3 linked regions of the Astyanax mexicanus genome follow. Each later gene encodes a partner of the first gene's protein in a complex. Links are inferred from orthologs where the notes say so. Each region holds a gene or a part of one and is shown on either strand. Other genes may lie near its edges. The genes, in order: kras, rgl1 and sos1.

Evidence for each region.
Region 2: the proteins of kras (region 1) and rgl1 are in contact, whole or in part, in a crystal structure (PDB 7SCX), measured with the Homo sapiens proteins. The link is inferred for Astyanax mexicanus from reciprocal best matches to the Homo sapiens genes KRAS and RGL1. Residues at the interface, in NP_001356715.1 of Homo sapiens: Ile24, Gln25, Glu31, Asp33, Pro34, Thr35, Ile36, Glu37, Asp38, Ser39, Tyr40, Arg41, Leu56, Tyr64, Met67; in NP_001284600.1 of Homo sapiens: Ile651, Arg653, Asn660, Gly661, Asn662, Met663, Tyr664, Lys665, Ser666, Ile667, Met668, Lys685, Asn687.
Region 3: the proteins of kras (region 1) and sos1 are in contact, whole or in part, in a crystal structure (PDB 8BE4), measured with the Homo sapiens proteins. The link is inferred for Astyanax mexicanus from reciprocal best matches to the Homo sapiens genes KRAS and SOS1. Residues at the interface, in NP_001356715.1 of Homo sapiens: Ser17, Ala18, Ile21, Gln25, Asp30, Glu31, Tyr32, Pro34, Thr35, Glu37, Tyr40, Asp54, Ile55, Leu56, Asp57, Thr58, Ala59, Gly60, Gln61, Glu63, Tyr64, Ser65, Ala66, Met67, Arg68, Asp69, Gln70, Tyr71, Arg73, His95; in NP_005624.2 of Homo sapiens: Lys602, Trp809, Thr810, Lys814, Leu822, Met824, Ile825, Arg826, Thr828, Thr829, Thr832, Leu833, Leu872, Val875, Ser876, Asn879, Ser880, Ser881, Pro882, Tyr884, Ser908, Asp910, His911, Tyr912, Lys913, Phe929, Phe930, Gly931, Ile932, Leu934.

What each region holds. Positions count from the first base shown.
Region 1 is NC_064409.1:62,227,264-62,231,017, forward strand, and holds the start of kras (GTPase KRas), read left to right. Parts: upstream 1-1,170; 5' UTR 1,171-1,595; intron 1,596-1,601; exon of another isoform or gene 1,602-1,931; intron 1,932-3,754. UniProt on the Homo sapiens protein: Ras proteins bind GDP/GTP and possess intrinsic GTPase activity. Plays an important role in the regulation of cell proliferation.
Region 2 is NC_064419.1:4,911,230-4,914,983, forward strand, and holds the start of rgl1 (ral guanine nucleotide dissociation stimulator-like 1), read right to left. Parts: upstream 2,331-3,754; 5' UTR 1,908-2,330; coding exon 1,770-1,907; intron 1-1,769. UniProt on the Homo sapiens protein: Probable guanine nucleotide exchange factor.
Region 3 is NC_064423.1:31,887,553-31,891,306, reverse strand, and holds the start of sos1 (son of sevenless homolog 1), read right to left. Parts: upstream 2,680-3,754; 5' UTR 1,963-2,679; coding exon 1,876-1,962; intron 1-1,875.

The sequences.
Region 1 (3,754 bases):
GCCTCATACAGGAACTGCTATGGGTGCTTAAAATAATAATAATAATAATAATAATAATAATAATAATAATAATAATAATAATAATAATAATAATAATAATAATAATAATAATATTTTTGTTTTATATTTTGTTATTTAAAATAGTTAAAATGGATCAACGCGGATGGTGAATATTTATATTTTATGCCCGAGGAGAGACTACCAGCTACACATGGTCTATTACATAAAGAAACTTCAACGGAGTAAACAATAAGAGTATTTCCAGAAGCTTCTCTCAGTGTTCAGTCCTAAGGAGCAGCACGGATTCCTCAGACTGACTAGAGACATCCCCGTCAGCCCAGTTGTTTTTCAGGCAGCTGGAAATAGCTCATCCACTAATTTTGAAAAAATGTAAGCATCATCTGTCCGACTAATAAACATGTGGGAGGGGCAGGTTTCGGCCCAGTGCGTTTTTTTTGTGAAAACGAATGTAGTACACGATTGAATATATATTCAATCTATATTCAATATATATAAGTGCATGCATATAATAGTGTACCCAAGACAGAAATAATAATATTGCTAGAATGATAATATAGTTACACAAATATTTAATATTTTAAAAAAGAATATACACACACGCTTTAACAGATTTAATAGAGTGTAGTTTGTTTGTTGTTGTTTCGAAGATGAATTTATAGTTTAATATAATGTTCCATCTGTTTTACAAAGGCAACAAAACTATTTCACCTGAAATGATATTTTATCTAAAAAAAAAACTTGACAAGTATGTTTATATTTATATTATTCACTAAAATGCTAAAAATCTACTAATTAATATATGCTCCCAAAATAAAAAAAAAACACTACTTTACCAGTTCTATGAGTGATATAATGAACCTGCCAAAATTGTTTAACACTTTAACAATGCCAAATTACTAACTATTAAGCTGGATATATTTGATGTATTCATTTATATGGCACATCTTAAATTTTATTAGTAATCAGATATATTTAAGAAACCACATGAGGCAGAGTAACAACACTATTTTAGAACAACCCAGTTGCGGTACACGCATTGGTCCCACGGCCTCGTGATCGATAGCGCGTTCAGCCAATCAGATTCATGCATGGGGGCTGACGTCTGTCCAAGACGTCCCCGGTTATATTTAGGGCCTATTTAAGCTCGGCTACACTCAGCGTCCCGCTGCTTACAATGGTGCTTGTCAAAAGCCGGTTACAACACTGTGCTGACTTTTCGCTTTGCTTCGTTTGGTTAGGCTGCACCGACAAGCCTGCAGTGATTTAAAGGGGGTTGTCTGTAAAAGCTCTGAAAAGCTATTTTTAAAAGTTAGTATGAACCGATGACGCCCTGTCGAGCTGCATTGTTCTGCATCGCCTGTTATTGAAGGGATATCGATCTGGTCACAGTGTGCCCTTAAGGCAGCAGCAGCGTGCAGAATGAAAGATGCAAGCTGAGGCTTGGAATTAGTAGTAGTAGCAGGTCGAGAGGGCTGCGCAGCTCATGTACACGTTTTAGGCTTGTCGTCCAGCCTTTAGGAAGTACCGAAACGAGCCAGGAAAGCCCGCCCGTGCTGTGGTGCACTGCTCCCTGGGTAAGTGATCTTAGCGCTGGGCTGCGCTCAGCCACACCGTATCCGCCCATATTTTGTGTGTGAAGCTCAGTCGAGAGCAGGGAGCGAGCGAGCGAGCGAACAGGCCGAGGAATAAAACACCACAGTCCCCGCTGCGGAAAATAGGCTCGGGTAGGCGGTTAGTGAGCTAGTCAGCTTCACAGGCGCAGCATCGAGATAAACTAGCTAGCTAGTTAACTACCTAACCTCGAAGCAATGACCGGCTCGGGTCTGAGGAGCGGACTGTAGGCTGTGGGCTCGAACGCTGGGCTAATATTATTCGTGGACGCGGAACTCGGCTAAGCTAAAACACTGAAGGTAGGTACTAGCTACAGAAACGCTAAACAAAAAACAGTAACGGCTAATTACAGTGTGCACGACCGAACTCGAGCCTGTTGTGTTTAGTGCTGTAAATGCTAACTCTCAAGCTATTGTTTTTGGTAAACTAGCTAAGCTAGCTCAGCTGTTGAGGCTGTAGGTTAGCTTAGCCACCTAGCTAGTTAACTAGCCAAGCTGGCTAGCTGGTTAGCTTAGCTACCGTCCATAGCTACCCGAGAACGCCCCAGTCAGTCAGTCAGGCCCTGTTTGACCAGTGTACCGTTTATCGGGCCTATTTTCGGACAGTTTGAGGCTAAATTCTTAAATAAAAAAATATAAGTGAATTGGCAGTACGTCAAGTTTTTTCTATTTCTGTATCATCTTAAAAAATGCATTTTCACCTTGTTGGCTTTTAAATTGAAAATGGTGTAATCCAAACTGATTGTTACAATATGCAGATTGTGAGAAGCAAAAAAAAAAAGCTTTACTATACTAAATGAATAAAATGAAATAATGAGGTTTTACTCTCAATTTCAGATTTCAAATTAAGCCTCGAATAGTCAAAAAATGGATACACTTATAAACTCTTAGTTAAACGTAACACACAAACCTTATTTCTTAATAGATCCTCTAAGTTATTCCTAACAAAGTCAAAGATATGCACTTTTTTACTTAAGTTTTACCTTTGTCATATTTTCCCTTTCTGTTTAGTGGAGCTAAAAGGTTTATACGTTTATTTGTTACATTTGATTTAACAGAGTTTTGGAATGAGGGAAAGATTATGCTTATTAGTTTCTCAGCCTTTAAAAATTGTGTTCCTAATAATAATTCAGTGTTTTCCTTTTGTCTCAAATCTAATTGGAGACAGTCGAATGATTCTTTAGAACTCTTGGTGATTTTAGGAAAGTTCTTCATTCACAAATGTTGCGCGATTAAACGTAAAGGCCCAGATTAAAGCTGTAGTTACTTTCAATGTTCTGAGATTGTATCTGCCAGAGACTTAATTTAACTTTATTTATTAATGAATTGATTTTTCTGTTTTTCCATTGCTGTTTGTGTTCTTTTACTGCGTCTAATGCTTTAGAATGGACTTAACGTGATATCCGTATGCCTTTCTTGAAAACAAAATTTGTTCTTGCTTTAGGAACATTGCCATGCATCTGTATGATGGATGATGGTGAAACAACCAAAAGCTTCTGACTAGCTAGATAAAGAACCCTTAACATACCCCTTGTTTTCTTTTTCTTTGTTTTTGACAGTTGTTTTCTATTGTCTTCTGAAAGTGGCCACAAAAGTGGTTGGTGGTGTGTTGGGTTTATGTTCTTCTCTGGTTAGCCATCTTTGTTTGTAGGACTTTGCTGGTTTTTAAGTGTTGCTTAAAATCGTAGCCATTGTCATTCAAGAGTTAAAAACGAAGGCCTGGTCTCCAAATGATGACCTGTGTGCATTGTAGTCTGATCACAACAGACACTGTCTATTTCCCATAATCTTGTGTGGAAGTGTGGAATTATTTAATGGATGATTGACAAACATGATGACTCTCCAGATACAGATAGGATTAGGCCTGTGTTTGAGACAGTTTAAACCAGTCAGTGCTGCTTTCTCTTTTTAAGAGTCCAGTGGAAAATCATATTGATATAGTATTAGTTTTAACCTGTACGTAAAAATATAGAACTTTCGATAAAGGCGTACATTATTCTTAAACCAAGGTTCTTGGCTCAGTCTGGATTGAAGGAATGGCTCACCCAAGTGTCAAATTTACACTTTTACCCTTAAGTGTAGTCAATCAGCTGTGACTTGTTTGGTGTGTACAGTAAGCCTTT
Region 2 (3,754 bases), on another chromosome or scaffold:
TGTATTCTTACAGTTACAGTAAATGGTGCAACATTTCACATTTTTTTTAACAAAAAAAAGGTTCTTACAAAACACTTATATGCTAGAATTTTCCGTAATGGCCCATCAAGATTCATTCATTCAACTGGGGACATAGAACCATTCCAGTATTCAAAATATTGTTTGAGTTTGAGTCATGGTTTTAGAGACAATACAACTTTATAGAAGAACCCATGACAAATCCATTGAAACCTATCAGGTTCTCTAACCTCACAAATCTTGTTTTAAATCTTGATTTGTTCCTGTTGTGGAAGCTTTAACATTCATAATTTCACCACCCACCACCGTGTAATAGAAGGATATCTGAGGTGGTTGCTATGGTGTTGCTTGCTGGTTGCTACATATGGTGTAACTACTGTAGGTGGTTGATAGTTAGTTGCTACAGAGCTAGTTGCTATGAGTTGCTGGGTGGTCACTATGGTATTCCTGCTAGTTGCTAACTGGTTTCTTTGGTGGTTGCTAGTTGGTTACTAGTGTTGTGTTGCTGGGTGGTCACTATGGTATCCCAGTAGGTTGTTATGGTGTTGATAGGTTGCTATCAGATCAGACATGATGATATTGCCCCATATAAAATACACAACTGCTTGCCAATGCCAAGAGTATCAAACTCACAACTCACCAATTCACCAATAACTCAATTCTCTATCCACTGAGCCACCACTGTTCTCAAAAGCACAATATAAAAGTAATGTATGTAAAATTCACAAAAAGTAATAAACACACAGAAGTGAACAGCCTACACTCAAGCCAAGGTAAAAATCATACACCCAAACACACATCAGAGTATGATATCCAAATATTGATATTGCGATATATCGTCTCGATTTCATTTGCAAAATATTATCGATATGCAGCGTCAAAAATCAATGTTTTAATTGAAACATAAGCGCTCTAAGCTCACTAAGACTCCACACATGGTGGCGCTATAATCAAATGAATAGGGTAAACCTGAAGAATATTGGTTGTCAAATTCTGTGAATCTGACACCAATAGAGTACTTTGTCCTTTTCAGTTACACCCCAGCTGGCATTTCAACAATGCATAATATTGACTCAATGTTGATGTTATGTTTGAATCGACACTGGATTTGGTTTTAATTTTGAAAAGTGAATCAACATGGATATGGCAATGTTGTTTTAACGTCGTACGTTCAACCTTGCAACCAAACCGTATGTTAAACCATAGCCTACATTCGGGATGCTCAAAATTGAAAAGAAGAGGAAAACAACAATATGCCATGATGAAGAAGGTATGGTAAAGAAATGGCGCCAAAATAAAAAGCAACTACCTCAAACAGAAGTTTTACCATTTTTTTATCCCTACATTCAACTGTTTTTTTTTTAATTGCATAGTGATAATGTTGTTTTGCACAACCATTTATAATTAAATACTGTTTCAACAACAACCGACATTACTTAAACCATATTTCAACCACATTGTGTTGACAGTCGGTTGTGTGCCAGCTGGGGCGGATGCCATTAAGTATCATGGAGAATTGTTTTGCAATATATATATATATATATATATATATATATATATATATATATATATATATCGCGTATCGCAGAATCACAGTATCGAGATATCATCATAATCGTGATCAATGTATCGTGATAACATCGTATCATGACATGCCTTATGATTCATGATTCCCACACCTAATACACACTAAACACACACAAACATAGTATAACAAGTATACACCCAGGCTGGTGAGTACAGTAACTGACCCAGTGTCGTGTGCTGCTCTCCGGGGATCGGGGCTGGTACCTCTGCAGGGCCACACCTCCTCCATCCCGGTCCAGATCCAGGCAGAGTGGTAGAGGAGGCCAGGGCAGCAGTGATGCCAGCGGGTACTGAGAAATCATCCTGACCTTCTGACCGCTCCGACCATGACCAGTTCAGTACCAGAGCAGGGCTGGAGGATCCCAGGCCTGATGCAACAAAATTGATGATGATGAGGGTGATGACGATGATGAGGGTGGAAGGTCAGGGCTGGTCTTTCTCCAGTTTATTTGGAAGCTGGGTATAGTCCAGTCCGGTTTTCCAGAGTTTAACAAAGTTTTTCAGAGTTTTCCAGAGGTTTTTCAGAGTTTTTCAGAGGTTTTCCAGAGTTTTCCAGTGGTTTTCCAGAGTTTTTCAGAGTTTTTCAGAGTTTTCCAAAGTTTTCCAGTGATGTATCCTAAAGCAGGACCTCAGTGTGAGCTGAGGTGAACTAGTGAACTCTAATAAACACTGGAAAGCTCTCTCTCTCTCTGTCTCTCTCTCTCTGTCTGTCTCTCTCTCATGTGAAACAAGCTTTGACATGAGTGATTAAAGCCTATTGTGTCTCTAGCCCCGCCTCTCTTGGGTTGGGGGCGGGGCTTCAACAAAACTCAGCCTTGGCATATTGAAAGAGAGAGAGAGAGAGAGAGAGAGAGAGAGAGAGAGAGAGAGAGAGGAGGGAAGAAACAGTGGGGGAAAAGAGAGAATAGCAAGGAGCAAAGAGAGAGAGAGAGAGAGAGAGAGAGAGAGAGAGAGAGAGAGAAAGAGAGAGAGAGAGAGCACAAATGGGCGAGAGAGGAAGAGAAAGAAAGGGAGAGAGGAACAAAAACAGGAAAAGAGAAAAGAGAGGTGCTTTGGGGGGGTGGGTGTTCTTGTGAGGAGAGGGGGAAGAGCAGATTAGAGATTTATATACTAATGAGAACTGCTTTATCCAGAATTCCCTCTGTTCTTCTGTGATGGGCTATTGTTGTTAACTTTTTTTTCTCAGAAGTAAAAAAGCTGCTTCCTCACCAGCATAACAACTCTTACAGCTGCAGCTCAAATCAAATCAAAGTAAACAACTTTATAATCAACTTTTACTCCTTATTTATAATACTATATAGATGTATTACACACAGAGCAATCGATTTTTTTGATCATTTGAATTATAATTAAAATTTGAATATTATATAAGACCAATTAGTTCTTTTGGCAGTGTGGGCAGTGTGCCAAGTCCTGCTGGAAAATGAAATCCGCATCTCCATAAAAGTTGTCAGCAGACTTGACAATAAAACACAGTGGATCAACACCAGCAGATGACAGACATGACTCTCCAAACCATCACTGATCATCAGTAAATTTTACATTTCATTTGTAAATCAAGGAAGCAGAGTCTGGAGGAAGAGTGGAGAGACACACAGTCCGAGCTGCTTGAGGTCTAGTGTGAAGTTTCCACCAATCAGTGATGGTTTGGATAAAGAGACATGTCATCTGCTGGTGCTGATCCACTGTAAATAAAGTTATGGACACACATTAAATTTAGTGTTTTTTCATTATTTAAATAATTTTAAAATGGCTTTGTAGATTCATATTCATATTCTATATGCTTTAAAAAAAAAAACATATGAAATTATTTAATAAACAAAAAAAAAAGTGTTAAACCAGATTATATTTTATGTTTTAGATTCTTCAGATTAGCACCTCTTTCTTAGATGACAGCTTTTTACATATTGGAATTTTCTCAGTCAGCTTTATGAGGTAGTTGTGAAAAGTTTAAAGCTGACAGTGGAGGCAGTTATAATATGCTTTTTTTTATTTTGCTCAAATATTTGGACAACCCTAGTTACTGTGTTGTTTATTAAATTAATATTAGATGAAAATAAACATTATAAGCCTGAATTAACATTATAATAATAAACATTACGCACAATACATGACTATATTTGCTCTTTTTGGTACATGACGCAACGCT
Region 3 (3,754 bases), on another chromosome or scaffold:
ACATCTACTCTACAGGTGAACAGCAGCTAAAAGTCCAGAAAGTGTGTTTCACAGCTGTCCAGAGAAACTGAGACACTGGTGCAATCATTCTGCCACTTGCACACAATAAATCAAGTTTGTGGATGATGCAGGTGAGGAATACCAGTGTTCTCGGGTGCTCTTATGTCTGTGTTACCTTCTGTAGCGACTATGATTATATTATATTAGCACACACAGATAATCAGACTTATAGGGTGATACTGTTACCCTTTTTGAATCAACAATCTTTAGTAGTGCAAACGGATGAGGATGTGTCTAATTACCCCCAAAGTTTCTTCCTTGACATTTGAAGGAGTTTGCCCTTGCTATTGTTTTCTTTGGCTTGCCCAATGGAGGTATTAGTTTAATATTTTATGTATTGATGATCTCTTGTCCTGTTTATTACTGGATTCCTGTAAATGTGCTTTGTGACAATGTCAGCTGTGTGCTATTCAAATAAATTTGACTACAGTGTCTATGCCCACTTGGAAACCACCTAGCCCCCATTCCTCCCATGTAAACCCAACATTGGCAACGTAAACACTAAAACATGGGGCAGGTGGTCTTCCAGTCATAGCTCCTCCCACTTTTCTATTCTCTTTCTACTGTTTTCTTTGACTTGCCCAATAAGAGGTATTATGTTAATATTTAATGCATTGATTATCTCTATTGTCCCATTTGTTACTGGATTCTTGTAAATCTGCTTTGTGACAATGTCAGTTGTGAAAAGTACCATACAAATACATGTGACTACAGTGCCTATGCCCACATACCACCCATGTAAACCCAATATGAGCAATGTAAACCCTAAAACATGGGGCAGGGGGTCTTCCAGTCTTAGCTCCTTCCAAGGTTTCTTCCTCTAGATTTCACTGTTGTGTCATGCGATTAAGTTATACAATTTTATACAATTTTGTTCCATCTCACGTCCCACATGTGATGAGAATGACAATTAAGTCTCACTGAATCCTTGAAATTAATGCTTTACATATTGTTTATGTATGTAATGTGGTGTGCATTGATTCCTGAAAATCTCCTTTGTGACCATGCCAATTGTAGAAAGTGCTATACAAATACACTCGACTACAGTGTCTGTACCCATTTGGAACCCATCTAGCCCACATTCCACCCAAGTAAACAAAACATGAGCAATGTAAAAACTGAAACATGGGGCAGGGGGTCTTCCAGTCTTTAGTTTCTCCGAAGTTTCTTTTTCCAGATTTGAAGGAGTTTGCCCTTGCTACTGTTTTCTTTGGCTTGCTCAATGGGGTATTATGTGAATATTTTATGTACTGATGATCTCTTGTCTTTTTTATTACTGGATTTCTGTAAATCTGCTTCGTGACGAGGTCAGCTGTGAAAAGTGCTACACAAATACATTTGACTACAGTGTCTATGCCCACATTCCACCCATGTAAACCCAACATGAGCAATGTAAACACTAAAACATGGGGCAGGGGGTCTTTCAGTCCCAACGTTTCTTCCTCCATATTTGAAGGATTTTCCCTCGTCACTGTTGTTTTTGGTTATTAAGCTAACGTTTAATGTATTGTTTATGTATGTAATGTGTCATGTACTGATTCCTTTAAATCTGCTTTGTGACTTGGAACCCACCTAGCCCACATTCCTCCCATGTAAACCCAACACGCGCAATGTAAACACAGAAACATGGGGCAGGGGGTCCTCCAGCCAGGACCAAGCTTGGGAACCAGTGGTCTAGGAGAACACTTAGCAAAAAGCCTACAAAGCTGTGTCTGCGTTGACCACGTTGATCTAGCTAGTTAACCTAGCTACTCTACAGAAAGTCAACAGATAACTAGTTACATGGTCCAGAAATCCAGCTGTGCAAAAGCTCACCTTGTTCAGCGACGGTACCAGCAGCCCCCTCCATTTAGGCGCGTTCTCCTCGCTGAAGAAATCGTACTGGAACTGTGTCCCTTGCATGACTTCGGTGGAGCTTCAGGGCCGCCGGTCAGGGTCCGGGTCCGTCCTGCTGAAGCCCTGGCCGGTGAGCCGTGTGTCACACCAGAAAGGCAGGCGCGGGGCCATACACAGGCCCGCGGCCGGGAAGGAGCCTGGTCGAGCGGACCGAGTGGAAATAGCAGCGACCTAATGCGACCATCGCATCGTTGTGGCGAAGCGCTGAGCTGTCTGGAGTCACCAAAAACAAGACGAAAACGTGCCTGAGTGGCTTTAACAGCTCTATAAACGCCCCAAGCCGCAGCCCGAGGCTTTAAAAACAGCAACTCCAGCGAAGAAACACGCAGCCAAACAGCTGGAGCTGCCCCTGTATCGGTTCCCTGCACTCCCAGACGCCGTAGAAACGGGCTGGTGCTAGCTCGGCTAAGCTAACAATAATAATAATAAACGGTTCGCTGTGCTAAGCTAGGCTAAGCTAAGCTAAACCAAACAGGGATTCGCTTACAAACAGCTAACTAATGCGGATTCAAAACTGAAATGTGTCACCACAGTGAAAAAAAGCCCGAGTTTAACTCTCCCCTTTTCGGTACAGTTTAGGACAAAAGCGGCTCCAGCTCCTCGGAACACATTCGTCCATTTTAGCTAGCCGGTGTTCTGTCGGGTTGCGCTACCCACCGATATGTGGTGCTTTGGGGCACTGCGCATGCGCCGAACTACTGTTGTTATTACTATTTTCTCGCTATATAGTTGTTGTTTAATAAATGTTAATAAATGTGGATTAATATAAACAAAATTATAATGAATAACACATACATTATCTTATATTTAACTTTTAACCAAACATATATTTTGATTTAGATTAAAGGTGGGCAGTATTCTGATTTTGTATTGTATCCTGATACGGTTTCATATCAACAGTAGGTTATACTTTTTTTTTGACAATATGCTTCATATTTTTTATTGCAGAATTTAGTCAATACAAACATATAATCAGCATAAATAATAGTAAAAAAAACGTTTCCCTAAACACAAAAGTATCAAAACTATGTCAATAATATAATAATAAAAACAACAATGATTAAAAAGAAATAATACTATTACTAAGCAAAATAAACTACAATAAAAAATAATATATATATAAAAGAGATGTGCTTTTTAGTCCAAAGGAATATACTTTTTTTAGCATATTAAAGACATCCTCAGTGCTGCCTTTTAACTGCGTTCAAATGTCGTGTCATGATAATTTGTGTATAAATCGAGTATTGTTAAAACTGTCTTTAAATAGTTTTATCATATCTTTCAGCCCTAATTCAATAAAGCCAAATGTGTCCCATATACCTACACTTTTGCCGGGGGCATTTTTTGATAAAAGCTAATGATATCAGACTATCGAATTATCTTCCCTAATGTTTTATTAAGGCATGTCTACCTATACATAAATACTAAGGTAGCTCGCCGTGACAAGGTAACCTAAATGGACAGAACACCGGATCTACGGGAGGGTGGCTAACCATTAATTTCGCCGTGGTGCTCTAGTTCAGAGACGGCAGATTGAGCTGGTGACAGCGCAGGCGGGCGCTGGAGAGAGTGCAGGATGTATGGAGGATGGTGCAGTTAGTAAAGAGGAGTTTTTACAGGTTTAAAGCGAGCCGTTCGCTTTATTTTGGGCGGTTGTTGTGACTCGGCTGCAGATGTGGATCATGCGCAGTGGGGGACAGAGACTCTCTCTCTCCGCTGGGCTGGAGGGACAATAACAAAGCTTTCTGAGCTATTTAACGCGCTGTTTCTCGCTCAGATCGATAGATAAAGCGTCAAA